2 linked regions of the Arabidopsis thaliana genome follow. The protein of the gene in region 1 interacts with the protein of each later gene in a pairwise test. Each region holds a gene or a part of one and is shown on either strand. Other genes may lie near its edges.

The links.
Region 2: the proteins of CPUORF7 (region 1) and AT5G50010 interact in binary tests that used the Arabidopsis thaliana proteins (3 or more experiments, as listed by UniProt).

Annotation. Positions count from the first base shown.
Region 1 is NC_003071.7:13,333,064-13,342,889, reverse strand, and holds the start of CPUORF7 (transcription factor bHLH155-like protein), read right to left. Parts: upstream 3,804-9,826; 5' UTR 3,461-3,803; coding exon of another isoform or gene 3,364-3,460; 5' UTR 3,213-3,363; coding exon 3,115-3,212; intron 2,818-3,114; coding exon 2,698-2,817; intron 2,506-2,697; coding exon 2,424-2,505; intron 2,350-2,423; coding exon 2,308-2,349; intron 2,185-2,307; coding exon 2,125-2,184; intron 1,995-2,124; coding exon 1,875-1,994; intron 1,715-1,874; coding exon 509-1,714; intron 403-508; coding exon 301-402; intron 46-300; coding exon 1-45. UniProt on the Arabidopsis thaliana protein: Transcription factor that may regulate root development.
Region 2 is NC_003076.8:20,342,729-20,352,554, forward strand, and holds AT5G50010 (transcription factor bHLH145), read left to right. Parts: upstream 1-5,886; 5' UTR 5,887-5,955; intron 5,956-6,104; 5' UTR 6,105-6,502; intron 6,503-6,613; 5' UTR 6,614-6,710; intron 6,711-6,808; 5' UTR 6,809-6,827; coding exon 6,828-7,763; 3' UTR 7,764-8,102; downstream 8,103-9,826. Other genes in the region: AT5G50000 (Protein kinase superfamily protein), read right to left, coding at 110-316, 514-648, 722-896, 976-1,172, 1,264-1,385, 1,984-2,305; AT5G50020 (DHHC-type zinc finger family protein), read left to right, coding at 8,482-8,513, 8,805-8,901, 9,538-9,723.

The sequences.
Region 1 (9,826 bases):
CACTGCGCAGCTTGAACCTTGCATACCAGTTTCCTTTTGTTGCATCTGAGATTACAAAGGTATAAGCTAATTTTGATATTTACTTCTGATTTTCAGTTGAGTTTTTCTATATATCTCCATGTGCCTAATAATCCTATCTTCTCATTCAAGGATTCAGAAATTTGATCCACTATTTGCTACATCAATCAATCAAACCTAACAAACTGCTTAATGTGTTCATTTACAAACTATGGAGGCTGGAATAAAAATTTCTAGGATAGAACAGAGATTATCAGTTATCAAGAAAGCTGACATTTTTACCTTTTCATTAGCACTTTTACTGAGCTTTTCAGCATGCTTAGTAACATTCTGCAAAAAGAGCATGTGTTTGATCGTTCGTTCTAGCAAAGAATCGATACTGCACTGAAAATGTGACAAAAATATTAGTGAATGACAAAAATATATTATAAGTTAAATTCATTACAAAGGAAGGTGCAAGTAATCTTGTAGCTAGGAAGAGAAAAATCACCTTAGATCCATTAGGCACAAGTTCTCTAAGTTCCTTGATTCGATCTTGAATAAGTTGCCTGTCTCTTGGGCGAGGTCGAGAACTTTCACCAGGTTTGGCCCTCTTTTTGTTCTTCTTGGGTATGTCCAGGGATGTCTGAAACTGATCACTAGAGGAGCTGGGGTACGTAGATGAGAATCCAATTGAAGAAAACGCTCCACAAATATCTGATGAATTTTGTTGGGTATCCACCTCTGCCATTGGTGGCTGATTCATAGCACTATTAATTGGGTTAACAATATTATGCTTCTTCTGACCTGAGGGTTCTGCCAGTTCCATGTTAGTAAGCAATGATTGTACCGATCTGCTCGACATCATATCATCCCTCGCATTACCATCTCTTTGACACACATTAGCAACCACAGCATCTAGAAGATTCTCAGGGCCAGGGTCAAACGTGAGCTGGCTATGACTCATATCGTCTGTTGGTCTCATTGTTGAACCATGTTCAGACTTCAGTAGCTCCTCCTGACCAGTGTTCGTTTGCTTGAAAGCAGAGCCTAACGCTTCTAGTAGCTCGCTGCCAGCAAAAGTATACCCAGATGAGATCAAAGCATCAAATTGACTAGACTCGCAGTTCCTCCCCAGCATACGCTCAGTCTCTTTTATGTATTTATTTCCTTGGTTCTCAGATAGTTGGAACACTTCATTATGGTAAGAACTTTCTTTATCTGTTCTCGAGGTAGCCTGAAAAGTTGAGTCCAGGCGTGGATATGATTGGCTTGTTATCAATCTTTCAGCCTCAATTGCTAAAGCAGATGTGCTTGTATCATTGAGCACATGATTCTTCATATACAGATGTAAATTAGGATCTAAATCCCTTGAATCTTTGCAGCCACTAGTCATTCCCACATGAGGTGCATCCCTGATTATATTAGTACCTACTTGATTCTCATGTTTGGCACCAACCAAGTCAACTGGAAAGCCAAACGTAACACCACTATAACTCCCACAAGTAGATCCTTGCACAACTTCACGACCACCAACAACTTGGGCTGCCTTCTCCATGACAAGACATGACGAAGGAGTATTGTAAGGCATGCTATCACTTCTTCTAGTTTTGTATTGAGTTAGAATATTGGACTCTTCCACGTCCATAGCTTTGTCAACTTCTCCAGAGCAATCAGGGAAAGCCTCAGCATGTAAACCTTCAGAAGGCATTTTTGGCTGCAACAAAATTATACAACACATCATGGTCTACTCAGGAAGTCAGTGGAGGTTTGAGTAACTGTTAGAAGAACCCTAAGCACTTTACTCTCCCCATTTTGCAAATAACAAGAAATCTAGAAAAAACATGAATCCATATTTGAATGAAGAAGATCTTTACCAGACATAACGAATTGTTCATATTACATTGCCTTAAATTTGCTGCATGGTCTGCCAATGGATCCCTAAGTGCCAGAAATAAATGTCGGATATGATTCACAAAATTCACATCTTCATTAACCTGCTCCAAACAAATACAAAATAAGACCAGATATGTATATATGTGCCATCTATTATAAGTGTGCAGGTGTTCTTCCTGGCTATTATTTTGTAACTGCGAACACCGCATCCAATTTTAAGATCTTACTTACTTTACACAAAGAGCCTAGCTGAACAACTCCACATGGACCAACAGCTACTACAAGAATGGTCTGCGGAGAAGGAAGAATAGATATTTTAAAAAGGAAAGTCTCCAGTGGCAAACTTTGAGGATGTTCTTGACAAGTATGTATAATAAAGCAGACAGAAAGAGCACTAAAGAAAAATCCAAATACCTTAATTCCAGCAGAAATTTGACTTTCCCAAACGTTATGAAACTGTAATTAAAAAAAGACATTTGGTTTAAAAACACGAAGAAAACAAATTTAATTTCAGATAGAAAGTCCCTAACCTCAAATGCTGAGTTACAGTTGTTATAATTTTCGGGAAATACCCATTGGTGTTCTCCAGAAACTGCAACTTGTCCTACAATCCTGTTTATATAGATATGATAACATAATTCAACAATAGACCCAAGATTGTTAACTATTGTAAAAGCTAACATCAAGCTCAAGGACACAACAAAAGCTTTGCATTATGTGGCTACTGTCAAATAAAAAAAGAAGGAAAAAGGGCACATCAAACTATAGGCATGATAAGAGTGAATCAGAGCAATATATTCTTACCCTTCCCCTAGAGAATAGACATGATAAGACATCTTTGCCACAGCTAACCCAAGGGGGTCATGTGCTCCATGCATATTCGTCCCATGATGGTCATAGTAAGCATCCTCCAAGGTAAGTACCCTACAGGTGTTCATTATTCAAAAAATTGAGAAACTATCTGGTCAACTAAAACACTAAAACATATAAAGAAATAGAATCCTGAACTGCACACAAAACTTAAAAGTACAGAAACAATCTTCAGACACTTAAACTACAATTGTTAACTTAAAGCTGCTGCATTTCGATATAAGGTTCCATATTTCCACTCTAGCAAGTTGAAGTCAATACACCTAAATCAATTACCACAGTTCTAACTCGTAGACAATTATAATGATCCACCACGCAAAGACAGTAAAGAGAATTGTTTAGATGACTCACATTCGAGATCCTCGATGATTAAGTTGCCAGAACACAGCATAGTCCCAGTCCGTGTTAAAGCAAAAGCTCTTCAGTATCTCTTGAGAAGTAGAACCCATTCTAAAGGGTAAACCTCAAAACCCCGGACTCAAAAACCACAAATCAGAACTCTAAACAGTTGTTTTATACTATCTCCTCCCCAACCTCTAATAAAAAAAAAAAGAAGCTTCTTTTGATTCGTTTTCGATGAGATACAAAGTAACTAACTACCTCTGTAAGAACCTCTTCCAGCTTGTTCCCTTCGTAAACCAGCTCTTGGTTTTATGGGCGGACCTACTTCATCTTGTGATATTTGCCTCTTACCCATCCCTCCCAAAGATACAAACTTTGAATCGGATTACGAATAAAAACCCAAGAAGGAAACTAATTTAGCCCTAGCTCAAACAAAAAACACCGAGAGAATCAGAATTTGAAACAGAGATAGATCTGCTGCAACTGCTACTCGCCATGGGAGAAATCAATATTGAAAATTCAAAAGCTAGAGAAGAAGAAAGAAGACAGTAGAAAAGGAAGCAGAGAGAGACAGAGAGATTGTAAGAAAGAATCGAGTTTAGCTTATGTCAGAAGATATTGATTAACTACAACAGTTGATCTCTGCATCACTCAGAGACACTAACAATCTCAGCCCAGAAATTCGCCGGAAAAAGGAAAGAACAGAGATAGAGATAGAGAGAGAGAGAGGGTAAAGGAGGCAGAGGTAAGCTAAAAGACGTTCCTTTTTAAAAGGGTGAAGGAGAAATCGAGCAAGTAAGCGGGTGAATCACGCACCATGCTCATTTTAGCAACGAAAGGCCAAGGATCGGTGTGCGCATGTTAACTATTCGAGTTAGTGGGATGGTGAGTGTGTGTGTGTTTGAGGGTATGGGATTTTATGGAGATAGGATCTCTCTCTCTTATAGAGTAATGGCCAGCAAAATGATTCACCAACTGAACTTTGCTTCCTTCTTTACTTTTTTTTTTACCCATTACTCACAAATTTATAAAATATTTTACACATTGCACTAATTTATCGTGTGTTTAATTACAAATTCATCACATTAACATCACAATCTTTTTTGTATTTCCCGCGGAAATTGTGCGCTAAACATTGTATACTCGGCTCGTTTACCGAAGTTGTAGGAAGTCTACTATGAATTGTATATCCCATGGGAGAAGAGAGTGATGAGGCTAGAGCTGCGGAATTAGTGGTAGGATTCTTAAAGGCAAGAGTTTGTGAGTCGAACCCAATTGTCTTTCTTGATAAGTTTGTATCATATATTTTATCTACAGAGTAGATAATTCGAATCTCGTATATGTATAAAGAGGTTAACCGTCTAGCAAAAATATTAGTGAACTATGTATATACTTTACTTTAAGGTGTCTATTTGTTTGATTTGACTCATACGTTGGTGGATAAGATTGTAAAAAAAAATGTTTGAGGAATTGCGTTTTCGAGGCTCATTCGTCTATAGTTTAATTTTTTTTTTATTTTGAATAAATTTTGAAGAGACAATTGTTTTTCCCATATACTATTAAAATATAATACTTTTGTAATAAAAAACCTATGATATTTAAAATGTTGTACATGTTTTATTACAACTTCCATAATAATTTTCCTTCTAATTCATAAGATAAAATATTCCGAAAATTTAGCAAGTGTCCCTCGTAGTCGTAGTGACAATCCTACTATATTATTTGGGAAGTACATTTTAAATATAACCTTAATTTTTGTAAGTAATTACATAGGTATGCCATTAGAAATAAAATTTTAAAAAGTAAATTAATTTATCTCTTTAAGGATTAAAAAGTCAAATACTAATTTAATTAATTAAATTAATTAAAAAACGAAATACAATATTAATTTCCAAAAATAATAGCCAATCAAAATCAACATATAAGATTTGATATCTAAATTTAATTAATTTAATTTAATTAGAAAAACGAAATAGATTATTAATTTCTAAAAAAGTAACCAATTAAAATCAACAAACTATATTTGGTATCTAAATTATCATATTAATTTTTTATTAATTATTATAGTTCACTTCTCATCTTTATATGATTCTATTTATACGGAAAAATAATATCATCATTATAAAAAAATAATTAGAGTTTTTTCGCATATGCCATAATTTGAATTTTTAAAAACAAATATAAACTGTTCAATACATGAAATAATATTATAACGGGTGAAAAATAGATTTAAGAAAACTTTCTACTGAGTAAGGGGACATAAATTTGAAATATTCATATTCAATTTCATACATATTATATTGAAAATTTATAATCTTATATATTACAATAGTTAATAACATATTAGATGTGATTCAATTTTTAATATAAGCTGAAAAATCCTAGAATTGACGGGTTTAGATCGATATTAATACAAGATGGTATACTACATGTGAAACTCTTAAATTAACAATCAAACTACAAGTGTATAATCTTAAACACTAAACAATATAGATAATATCAACAAAACATATACAACTCACAGTTTACTATACATTTAAAATCAAATAAAATAATATCATATATTTTTAAATCATCTTTACAATAAAAGTTTTTAGTTTAACTAAAATATAAGCCTACCTGCGGTATACTGCAAATTAATCTCTAGATTATAGGACTTATTGGATCTAAAGACGGGTCATCAAAGATTTCCTAAACTGAAGCAAAATATACTGAATATTCAAATATCTATCTGTTACCAAATTATAAACAAATAAGTCAATTTAATATTTTATATATGAAATCAATTAAATCTTAATCACATAAAATTAGCACAAAAAAGAAGTATTCAACAATTAAAAATTATCAAATCTCTGTGTTATATAAGTTTTGATACAATATTTGAATAAAGTGTAATATACCTTTTTAATTTGTATTCTTTAACTAATTTAAGCTAACTAATATATTTGCTAATCTTATATCTATTAAAACCGACTATCGTTTCTTATCTCTATAGTATTTTTGCAAGACTTTTTTGGTGGATTTGGATAAAAATGCATTCGGGTCATATGGTACATTTCCCTATTAAATAAATATGGTGCATACCCTTTTAATTTGTATTCTTTAACTAATTTAAGCTAACTAATATATTTGCTAATCTTATATCTATCAAAACCGACTATCGCTTCTTATCTTTATAGTATTTTTGCAAGACTTTTTTGGTGGATTTGGATAAAAATGCATTCGGGTCATATGGTACATTTCCCTATTAAATAAATATGGTGCACTCCTATGTTATTAGCTAAAATATTTAGATTATAATTCAGAGTCATATCATTAATAAAATTAATATTAATAAAATAAATGACTTTTTGGCAAGACGGATTTGGAGGGACGGGTTTTTGAATCAACATTAATAAAAAAGTAAAATATAATTAATCCACTGTTTCAATATGGGTTAAATCTTTAATTTATTATTTTTTAAGACCACTAATATTAAACATATCAAATCATCCTAATTTAGAAAAAATTATATAAAACCAAAAATGTTATATGGTATGTATAATGTTACTATATATAAAATTAAACTATAAAATATAAATGTATTAGAGAATGATACAATTTGCAAAACTTTTATATATAAAAAATAATTCTAAAATTTTAAAAATTACTACTTTGAAAAAAATCATGGGACGGATAAAAAAATTACAGAACGTGTTTTATTTTGGAATTGGGTTATATGGTGGATGTATTTGAATCAATATTTATAAAATTTTAAAATATTATTAATATGTTGTTTTAATAGGGGTCAAAACTTCAGTTTTTTTAACAATTGTCTCATGAATTCGTGGTATACCGTTACTTAATAACAATTATAAACTGTAAAATATAAATATTTTGTAAAAATAAAATTTGCAAGTTTTAATATATATTACTTTTAAAAATAAATCGTCCCGCGGTATACCGCGGATTAAAATCTAGTAATTATTTATAACTACAATTTGTTATTCTATTTTCTCGCAATGAATTTGAGGATTTTCAGCTTTAGAAAAAAAAATGATTTCATTTGCCAATATAAAGTTGAAACATATTGGAACTTTATAACTTGTCCATACATATTCTCACAAAATGATTAACTACATCGCTTCTTTTATTTCCCTTTTTGTATTGTCAACAAAAATCCAATGTCTTTTTCATACTCACTCATTTTGTCTTGTTTACCATAATCATCCTTGGACAAAGCAAATACCCTCGAATAATTTATGTGCTGGCCTATGTTATTTTTGGTTGCGGGTCCGTTATATAACCAAAATCACATAAGCTAATAATCACTAATATTTGTCAAAACTTATAGTCACCTTTAAATTGAAATATTGATAACTCATGTGTGTAAAATTTAGACGCAAGTTAAACAGCAAAAACATCCAATTCTTAGAGTAGGATGTTCAATCCAAATAAACCAAACCGGCTCAATCTCTGAACCGAAAACAACTGATTCTACAAGCAAACAAAACCTTAATTTGACTATTTTCTCTATTTTTGTCATTTAATAAACCGAGACAGAATCTGATCCAAACCAAAGAAGTAAAATACCAAACCAACACTTTTTTAGAAACATAAAGATAGGTAGTTAAATTATAACCAAAATTGAAATCGCATCAAACCACATTATACCACTCGGTAACATGTTTTAGATAGATACAAAATATTTTAAATCGTAACTTTTTAAATTTTAAAACTAACTAAAATCTAGATTGTAACATCTCTAATTTTAAACTATTTGTGAATAGTTTGTAACGATATTTTTCAAGTGTAAAATTACTTTGCAAAAACAAGAACAAAAACAACAATTGTTAGGCTCGAATTGACGGCCTAAAACAATTCCTAGTCCAAGTTTTTTTTTAAGATGTTGACATTTACAAAGATGATCTTTGTAAATACATTTATCTCAACAATTCACAAGTGTTTTCTGTCGACCATTTGGTAAGTTCATCAAAACCCCAAGGGTTGAGAGTATTTTGAAATATGTATATCAGATTTGGGTTCCACTTAGAAATTAAAAAATGATGATGTTTTACAATTGATAGCTCATAATATTCTATCTGGAGGCTCTTATTATATGCTCTCATGACTTGTTTCCATCAATGTGTTCTAATGCAACGCACCAACTCAACATCTATTTTCCCCTTTTCATCATTTTTATCTGTTAACTTGTTTAGCTGTAATTCAATTAATAATCCATATAAATATATTATCCTTCATTTTTAATCATTCTTTTTTCCTACTTTATTTCAGAAATTTTCAATTTAAAACTCTAAATATTATAAAATTATTCAAAACAATGTTTTAAGATTACACACGAATAGAGAAAGCTGAACATAAATTGTACCATTAGCTTACATATACATGGAGAATTTTTGGTTAAATAAATATTCATGACATCGTCGCCTTTGAAGTAAGTCATTGAGATTTGAGATAACTAAAGATGTTTTCATGAAGTCGTTACCTTCTGTTAATGATTATTTCCTTTAAGCCAATATCATCCTAAATTTTGCAAGTTCTTTGTTTTTAATATGTTTATATTTTGACATTTAACAATTACTGAGCTATCTTTAAAAGTCACATTTAAAAAAAGGGAGACAGTTGCACTTTTGTCGATTATTCATAAATTTCTATTCCACCGATAATTATACTAATAGATTTCTATATGTTTCCGAAAGTTGGCATTAATTAGAACAAAGCATGCCTGTATCAAATTGTTTCAATGTCTTTCAAATGAAAGAGCTTTTGATAATATGTTTTAGTGGACAACGTTTGAACTATAATGACTTGGTCCGTAACTGATAAGCCATGCAAATAATTCTTTTAATTATTTTTTAGTTATGAATTAAAAATACATTTGGTTTGAAGTGATTTGTTATTCTGTTTTTTTTTTCCCCAACAATTATGTTCAATATACTATTTATAAAAAAAAACATACTTCACAAGACTTCTTAATTTCCTCTGCATTGGCTTATTTGAGTCAATATAATAAAGTTATTGACAATAATAAATGTTTCGTAATTTCGAACTCACATGACTAGCTATGTATGACATATATTTTACCATATGGACATGCATGGTTTTGGAACCCTTTCAAAAACATTTTTGTAGCATTTTGAACTTATTATTATTAGTTACAATTATAACAGAATATCTATTTTAGATTTTCATAAAAAAGTAAAGTTAAACGAATTTTTTTCTACTAAACTCTCAAATTTTTTTTATAGTAAATTAACTATTGGTTTTGTAAAATACTGAATACCAAAGCATATGTTTAAGAATTATATGTATATCACATAGTTTACAGAAGAAGAAGAAAAACTTAAATTTCTGCAAAGATAATATAATTTAATTTTTCTAAAATAGCAAAGAGAAATAAAATGAAGGTGAGATATCCATATTCTTTTTACCAGAAAGAAAATAAACGAATCTTAAAAAATAGATTCCAAAGGTAGGGTTTTGAAGGTTTCTCCAAAAAGGGAATTGGGTCAGAAATTGCTTAAAAGAGTGGCAAAGGTCTCTCTTTTTTTTATTTTTCTTTTTTGGAGATTTTAATTTATAACTTATCTCTCTATTTTTTCTTCTTTAATAAAATACTTTTGTTATATAGTACAGTATATTACTGTTTGGGAAAGGCTTTTTCAAAGGAAAACAATGAGACTTAGGAATGTATGATGGGACTACTTGTGGTCCATACAAG
Region 2 (9,826 bases), on another chromosome or scaffold:
CCCTAACAAGCCTTCCCATTTTTTTTCCTTCTGGATTATAAAAAGAAAAAGAAAAGAAGCAAGGACACGAATCTTGAGTTTTGAATGATCTTAGATTGGTCTTTGGGAATTAAGGACCACGTTTCCTTCGGAAGCATAGGCAACCCTGTTGCTGGTCGTTAGGAATCATCCCTCCTCCCTTGGTTGTGTCAATACTCTCCAACATTGGTACAACCTCATCCATCTCCGGTCTCTTGTCCGGATTTGCATCCCAACATCGCTTCATCACAGCTGCAAGTGCGCTCGGGCAACACCTCGGTATATCGGGTCTCAGGTTCTGCATTGATCATATGTAGCAGCATATTGCATATAGATTTTTTACTTCAGTGAAATGATGAAATGGTTACACTACTCTAGATCACATTTTTTACTTCAGTGATTCCTCAAGATTTACAACAAAATATAATTGTGAAACAACCAATATGCACATTTCAATTAAATTAACTTTTCTTTGCTTAATCTATTCAACCATACCTGGCGGACGACGGCTGAAGTGACCTCAGAGAAAGTAAGGTCAGGGTATGGCATGTCACAGCAATATATCTCCCATAAGCAGATCCCGAAACTGTATACATCGCATTTTCGATTATACGGGTTTCCATTGAGAACCTGCAGCCAAAGTTTATTTGTTATAAAAAGTTGGTTTGTTACCAATCTTGATGATGCATTATCACTATAGTACCTCAGGCGCCATGTAGCCAAGTGTGCCAGTCTCTCCTGTCATGTCATTAGGGTTAGATGCTTCAACTCTCGCAACTCCAAAATCTGCGATTTTAACAGTCCGGGTTTTGTCTAACAACATATTCTCTGTCTTTACATCTCGGTGAACAATCTTCTGCGAATGAAGGTAACTCAACCTAAAAGCAACATAACAATAACCATTAGAGCAGATAAACGACTTGAGAAGGCAGCGAAAGAAGGGAGAATATAATGTACCCTCTAGCGAGATCAAGAGCGAGCTGAACAACAATTTTAAATGTTAGTTTTCTTCTTCTGTTCTTGATCAGGTAAGATTTTAAAGCACCACCTGGAAGATATTCAACAACAACACAACATATATTGTTTGGCATAGCTAATGGACCACTCTCTGTTTGCAACTGTAACCCTGATGCACCCATTGTTGCTCCTATAAACTGCAAAATATACATTCATTGATGACCCAAATCTTATTTATATCCTCAATATATAACAATGGTAAAAAGTAAACAGAAGTGAAATATGAACCTTGGTGACATTAGGATGATCCAATTTATGCCAAACAGCAACCTCCTGAGCAAAATCAGCTCTCAAAGACACAATCTCAGCTTCTGATCTATGACCTTCTTCACCCCAATCAAGCAACTTCACTGCTCAATTTCACCACAATGATTAGCTCATTTCTTCACTTTAAATTTAATAACAGTAAAAAAGCTCTTTAGTTACTGCATTCAAGGGATCTATTATTCACTCTTTTTTTCTTTAAAATTTATTTCATGAAAAAGAGAGATTGAGACAACAACAGCTGGAATCACATGAAAGATCCACAAAGCAAAAGAATCATAATTATCCAAGTAGAGACCTTTCAAGTAGCTGAAGAAACACTTATGATAGCAAAACCCGTGTCGGCTTCACGGAGATCACAAGATTTGCTTCTACCCTCTAAAGAAAAAAACTCTTCAAATCCAAAACAATTCAGCAACTTTAATCTTAAAAATCCAAACTTTTTTTCAATCTAACAAGTTTCATGGTCAAAAAACACGAACACAGAACTAAACTATTCAAGTACAAAGCCTGTTTCGGATCCGACATTTCAAGTACAAATGTAGTAATCCATTCTTAAATTCGAGACTTTAAACTAAACTTGAAGACTTTAGCATTATTTCACAGTTACAAACTAATAATATAAAATGAAAGGGAAAGGTTTCGATGAGAGAAGGAAGCTAGAACGACGGGAAAGTGACTAACCGGCAACATCTTGACCGTCGTAGATACCACGATGAACGGTACCAAAAGTGCCACGAGCAAGAACAGTCTTGATGATAAGTTTAGAAGGATCGATCTCCCACTCAAGTCTCTGTTTCCTCTTGCCAACAAATCCGCCGCCGTTTAGAGTGACAGGGGAAGAAGAAGCAGAGCCACCGATGGCGACGGCGGTTGTGTCTTCTTCATCTTTCTTCTTGTTCTTCTCTAAAGTCAAAGCTCTGCTTAAGTGTCTCTCTAGTTGCTCGTCTAAGCTTTTTAGATCAATCTGATCTGCTCGAACAAACCCATCCTTTCCTTCTTTCATTGTCAAGCAAAAGATCCTATGAATCTTTTTTTGGTCTTCTATAAGTTGTTGTTGATTTTGTTTCAACAAGTTTCTTCTCTCTCTCTCTCAGATAATCAAACGCAGAGGAAAATGGGAAAAGAAAATCATAAAAAGGGAAGATGAGAAGAGAAGAGAAGACCGCATGTGAGTGAGCACATGGTCTTGCCTCGACGCTAATGTATCTGTATTTACATTTCTTTTTTTCCTTTCATAAAATAAATACTTTTTTGTTTTGTATTTCCAAAAACAATAATCATCACTTATTATCAAAATAAGTGTTGGTACCAACCATTTTATTGACGAGAATAGTGAGTGCAAAAGTTTGGCCCATTACTCTGGATGTTCGGCCCATCAAAGATTTGAGCTCCCTCGTAAACCTAAATACAAAAATATTAGTATGTGAATTTCGACATCTACATTTTTGACGTCGTATGTGGAGTTTATCATACTTCTGATTTTGGTCTTTCCAACTTGGTTTCACATACTATGGATAAACTACTAATATAAATTGATGTTACGAAGTTAAAAGATATTAGGAAGAACTAAGCCGATCTTTCTCATCTTGATTTGATATTGACATGAAGATATCGGTTGTGGCATGTCTAAACAATTGGACATGCTTGTTACAACTCAGTGTGTGTTTGAAGTACGCTTTGATGCTATGAACTCGACCAACTCCCGAGTTATACTATGTAAAATATTGTTCTATTGTCAGCATATAGAGTATAATGATAAGTGGATCCAATCATGTCTCTTGACTTTTTTATTTTTTATAAATTGAACCAAATCTATTTTCACATACGCTTACACGTATGGGATACATATGATAATCAATTGATTTGAAGATTGAGGAATGGAACTTAGAGTGGTGGTTAAGTGTATTGGTTGCTTTAAATTGCACGAAGCGTGGATGATTTTGTTGGCGTATCCACGTACCAAATGGCTCCATGCATTGTCTGTTGTCCCTACCAAAACCTTCACTATTCTTCTTGAGATCAATATTAAATATATATATTCTCTCAAATAAAGCATATACACAATGGTGCTCTTCTTCTTTTCTCTTTTTTTTTTTATTTTAAATGTATTGTATAATCGCATGTTCGTTACATATTAACCAAATCAAATTAAAAGGTCAAATATAAAACAAAAGCTAGAATTTCTATGCCGAAAATATGGGAAATGAATACCTTTTGAAATTTGGGAGTGGCCATTAGAAGCTCCTCAATTTTATTTTATTTTCGCCTTTAAGGTGTACAAATTTCTTTTTAATTTAAAATTTAAAAATAATTAACATGATCAGCTCTTCCTCAACTATAACTCTAATTCCGTGTACTTAAATAGTTAAATTATACTATAAACCCACTTAGTTGCTTTATCTAAGAATTAAAGAATGTGAACTCATCTCCCATGCGTGTTTTCCTTTACTCAGAAGGAAATTAAATTTCAATATTCTCTGAAACCCATTACAAAACACGGTCATGCTAGAAGACTTGAAGTCGTGATATGTAGCATTTTTAATGCGTTTTGTGAATATATGTAAACTATATAGATGTTATATAAGTACTCTCGGTCCAACATTTTGGAGCACATTATACTATGATCTTGATATTCAGCCAGTTTATTATGTCATATTTTTCGAGAACATTTGTTGAATTGAAGAACATAAAAGATAGCAAATCAACATCTCATATATGTGTCTTTATCAAAAAAAAACATCTCATATATGTGTATTTTTTTTAACCACGCAAAATGAGAAGAGTGTTATTTTATGTGTATAAAAATGGTGGACCTAGGATATGATGATTGCTTTAGAGACACACAGAAAGAGAGAAACGGTGGAGGGTTTGTTTTGGGCCCCTGACACCATTAAAGCCAGTAAGGATTAAGTGTATCCACTTTTAATTAATCCTAATTTATATACTATACGGATTAGTAATATTATCCTAATGGTTTTTGTATAACTTAAATATTTGGCGTGGTAATATTAAATGTTACTCTGCTTGTATGATTGTGAGCAACCAGATCTCTCTTATCTGTACATCAAAGATTTGGTTCAGGTTACTAAATCATGGGTCTTCTACATCTATCACTATTGAATATAGTTTCAGATGTCTTTGATTGTCAATGAAAAATATCTTGGGTATAATTATTACTAGTCAGTGCCATTTTCTGACAAGAGAGAACGTGTCTGTTTCTTCTGGGGGATTAATTAGGTTTAGATAATTTTGGTATCAAGTTTTATGATTGATAATATACGATTAAGTCATTGGCTAACTAGCTAAAAAAACTTTTTTTGGCTAACTTGGTAATTTTTGGTGATGCAGGTTGTTCATTTGGGTTTCTGTATAGAAATTATCTCCTTTTTTGTCCTTCGAAACTTATCTTACAGTATCTAATATTGAATTTATATTTTCATAATATAAATTATTGTGGATTGGTCATAAATTATGATCTCAATAATAATGTTCTTATGTTATCATTATTTGTTTGTATTTTTATAAGTCAGTGAGTATGACTTGTACCGTTCCTACTTCTATAGTGAAAACGGAAGTCTTATAATGATAATGAAGCTTGTTTTTTTTTCTTAACACTTTAGTATATATAGAAAAATATACATATTTTGGAAGAGATTATAATAAAGAAAAGATGAAGAGCAATCAATTGTCTTGTAGGATTTTCCTTTCTTCTTGTTATATTTATCGTCACATATTTCATCGTTTTTTCACTATAAGTGCAATAGATACATTTTCCACGAAAGTGTTTTGGAGATCCATATGAAAATAGACCAACCAGAATGGGAAGACAAAACATAATGTGAAACCCAAAGAAGATGGAAATGGAGGGTGCAAAAAGGTAAAAAGTAAAAGTAGAAATGATTTGGGGTTTGAACGGTCAAGCCATTGCAAACGAGAGTATTTGAGAAATGATTGGACCTTCTTCTTCTTCACATTGGATACTTTCACTACTTTTCTTACTGACGATGAACGAAAGTACGAAACCAACAAAATACATAAGCGAGCGTCTTATAAAACATGATTGCATGAAGTAAGTATACTTTGGCTTCAAATGGATTTTTTTTTTTGTATAGCTTCATTGATGATCATTTTTATATTATGTGAATGATATTTGTGTTTCGGTGGAATTGAAAGATACTAGATTCCGTTAGCTGAATTTGTTTACATGTGATGAAAAGTGAAAGTCGACTGATTCTTCTTTCCAACCAAAACAAGCTATTTGGCATAATTTATTTTTCCACCAAATGGGCAAATGTATATCTTTTAGCCAAATATAAATAAGCCGAAAAAGCATGTTAACAACAATATGGATTATGAGTATATCTTACTAATTAGTAATTACATCGAGAAAAATAAACAACTATTTAGATTTTGAACCCACCAAATTCAGCTAATTTTCCCAAAAACATTTGTTATCGGATTTGGTAAACACTGTGGCATCACGATACCTAAACTTTAACGCACGCACGCATCTCTGTTATGATGAAGGTCACTTTCGTCTTTTTCTCTTGTATATATCTTCTTCCTCGCTAACTTCTCTTCGCCATCACTGAAACTAATATCTCTCTGCTTCCTCCTTAGAACTTCTATTTGCTTCTCTTGCATTCCACTTTTGTGAGTTTCTATTATCTTCAGTTTTCGAGATAGAACTTATAAACTCTGTAATAATATGCATTGTGCATATTTTTCTAGGTTAAGTTATTTGTTTTAAAGTGTTCTGTTTCTTGCTAGCACTAAATCTATTGCTCTCGTTTATTTTGCAGATTCATTTGAAGTAGTGAGATTGACTCCAGAGATAAAACAAGAAAGAGCAACAAAGCAACAGCATGCGGTGGTGGTTGTGTCTTTCTGCTTATGTTTTTCGTACAGTAGTAGTCTTCTGTCGTGTGATTCTGTAAACTGCGATCTTACTTCAGACATAGCTTTTTTATGTAATGGGGTCGTCTTTTTTCTTCACATTCCCTTACTTTGTCCGCCAAATTATTTAAGACTTCGTTTGGATACTCTGTTTTGGGAGAAGGAATCAGTTGGGGAGAAAGTAGTTATGGTTTGTCAATCAGCGGGACAGACAAGATTTCGTACACTCAAACACGAACACGGTATCACAGGAAACATTGTAGTTAGAGTCATTGCATGCTTTCAACCTCTCCAAGATTGCCAGGTTATTTTCTTGTTTGATGAGTTTATGTTATTGCAATATATTTAGATTTTTAAACCACCAGAACTTTTTTTTATTGATTTCGTTTTAGCTTTGATGTTGTGTATTTTGCAGGCTGAATATTTCCGTCAATTGTTGAAGCCCGTCACGTAGAGTAGCTCGATACTTATCGTTCTTGTTTCAAGCCTAGTTTCTTCTATCCATTTAGTTGGTAAGTTCCAGTCTTTGCACACATAATCTTTTGACCTCCCATTCTTGATTATAAGTAGCTGATTTGTTTGAGATGATGATGTCCTCTGTTTTGGATAGTTGATTTGTTTAGTGTTGGATGGGACAAGATCGTGGGTTTGGGTTTCCTACTCAGCGCTTGTGTTCCTTGTCTTCCCTAGCTCTGTCTCATCTCGGGAAGCAAGACTTGAATTTAGTATCTAAAACCTGCGGCGACACCACCGACATGTTTTCTACTCGTGGATCTTATCAAGTTTCTACCCAAGTCTCTCAATCCTATTTTGATGGGTATTGTGGATGGGTTCATGGGTCATCCCACCTACAGCAGCAGTTCTTGCCTCCTCAAAACCAATGTATGAAGCAAGTACCTCTTCAAGTAGACGGTGTTATATCTAAAGCTGAGGAACAATGTAGTCAGAAGAGGTTCCTAGTGTTTGATCAGTCTGGAGATCAGACGACTTTGCTACTCGCTTCCGATATACGGAAATCTTTTGAGACCCTAAAACAGCATGCCTGTCCTGATATGAAGGAAGAGCTCCAAAGAAGCAACAAAGATTTGTTTGTTTGTCACGGAATGCAAGGAAATAGCGAACCGGATTTGAAGGAGGATTCGGAAGAACTAAATGCATTGCTTTACTCTGAAGATGAGAGTGGTTATTGCTCTGAAGAAGATGAGGTTACAAGCGCAGACCATTCCCCAAGCATTGTAGTATCAGGCCGTGAGGACCAAAAAACATTTCTTGGAAGCTATGGACAACCATTAAATGCTAAAAAGAGAAAGATACTCGAAACCTCGAATGAGAGTATGCGGGACGCTGAATCGAGCTGTGGTAGTTGTGACAACACAAGGATTAGTTTTCTGAAACGTTCTAAGCTGTCTAGTAACAAGATAGGAGAAGAGAAGATATTTGAGACTGTAAGCCTCTTGCGCAGTGTAGTCCCCGGGGAGGAACTGGTGGACCCGATCTTAGTCATCGATAGAGCCATTGATTACCTTAAATCATTGAAGATGGAAGCGAAAAATCGAGAAGCATGAGGTTCTTTGTTTGTAGGATACCTAAGACATATTAGCATTGGCAAGTGGACTTGGTTTCTAAACAAAGTAGTAGACATATTGGACCGTGGTACTCTTGTCAAGCTACAAAGGGATCAGGTTGTTGCTAGTTGGAAGATAAACCAAATAATGTTTCGGAGTTGCAAGAGAAGGAATTGATATTAAAATGCAAATTGAATATTTCATATTAGTTGATGATTAAGATGGATTGCGAAATTTTAATTTCAGTCGTTTAGCTGTTTGTTATATCATGTAGTTGCTTCTTCTTTTTCTATAAGATTTTGTCGGTGTGGTTGTTATTGTTCATCTGTGAGTCGTGTGGCCGAGAGAATCATAAATGGGAAAGTTGAATAACCATTTTCAATGATAGGCCAATTATAATGGTAAACACACAATTAATTTAACTTTTTTACAAATGATTAAAGATGTTTGTTTTCGTGCCAAACAGACATGTGATTTGGTGGGATATTTGGCAGTCTTTTGTCAATATGGTAGCAATTTTTGCCTATTGTTTCATGATTAAGACTCTTATCACTTGTCATTTCCTGACTTTTGTGCATAGAACTAGTGACATGTGATATACTGTAGTCCCATCCAGTTTATAAGTTTTGAATACATGTCTCTAGCCATTCAGAATAAATCTTGCAGCTAAATGTTTTAGAAACCGGACCAGATACCGGTTCATCCCAATTTCAGCCACATGAACGATTCTTGGTCTGCAGGACCGGACCGGTCCGGTTTTTAAAACATTACAAAAATAATTTTATATGCGTAATAAAAAAATGAAGGAACAAAACTGTAATGTTCGTCTCGGGAGACACAATCCAGAAACGAAACGCCTTTTGTGAGAGAGAGAAGAGAAGAGAAGAGAAGAGAAGAGAAGAGAAGAGATCGCACCACACAAAAACTACAATTTTGTTTTGGAAATTACTCTCACCCACCTGAATTTTGTTGCTAGAGAGACAACACTTAGGTTTTGGGCGGAGTTCTGATGTGAAATGAATCGGCGTAGAAAATTTTCAGGATCCTCCAATTCGTCAGAGAGTGTAGCGAGGAGTGTCTGATCCGTTCGCTGATTCTAATGGCTGGACGGGTCTTCGAAGCCTGGAAGGGAAGTAATGTAAGCTTTTCTTTTTCTTTCTTAAGGCGTCTCGATTTCGCTTTACTCTTTTCCCTTTTCTGGAATCTACATTTAGGTTTTCTTAAAGGCGACATTTTTATGACTTCACTGTCCTAGTTTTAAGAAAAATAATTGCAGAGAAGAATGTTCTGAGTGGATTTGTTGTTTTGATGAGAACAATGTGGACATTTTTGAGGGAAATTGTACTTTTGTGTGAAGAAATTAGTATCATCATATTCAATTAGATTACATTGGTGAGCTTTATTGGATTCGACTGTATATGTTGAATTTGGTGGCTTTAAATTTCGAATCTTTTTCAACTCTATCACTGTTGATAGTGTCATTTATTGTTATCATTGCGAAGATCTAAGTTTGAACATATATACCGTATTTGTTAGATTTGGTTTGGTTCCATGCTGATGCATCACCATATTTACAACATTGATGAGCTTTCTATTCACTATTGGTTCACTCTCCAAGCATGAACTTGCATTTTTGGTGAACTCTATCAGTCTATTGTCAGATTTTGTTCAATGGAACCCATTACCACTTGTGAATGTAGCTTTTGATGCAATGCTCTATGCTGTATTTATTCTGAACATGATGATCATCTTCTCTTTTGTTGGTCTTTTGCAGAAGTTTCTGTTTGGTGGGAGATTGATATTTGGGCCAGATGCTTGGTCTATTCCTTTTACCTTCCTGCTCATCATAACTCCCGTTTGTTTCTTTTCTGTATTTGTTGCAACACATCTTCGCCGCGAGCTCTTACCAAACAATGCGGGACATGTGTTCTTAGTGGCAGGAGTTCTATTTACTGTCTTTGTAAGTTTTCTCCAATGCCCATTTGATATTTGATTTCTTGTTCACATGTATCTTGTATACCTTATAATCTTATCATGGGATATTATAGGATCTTATCAACTCT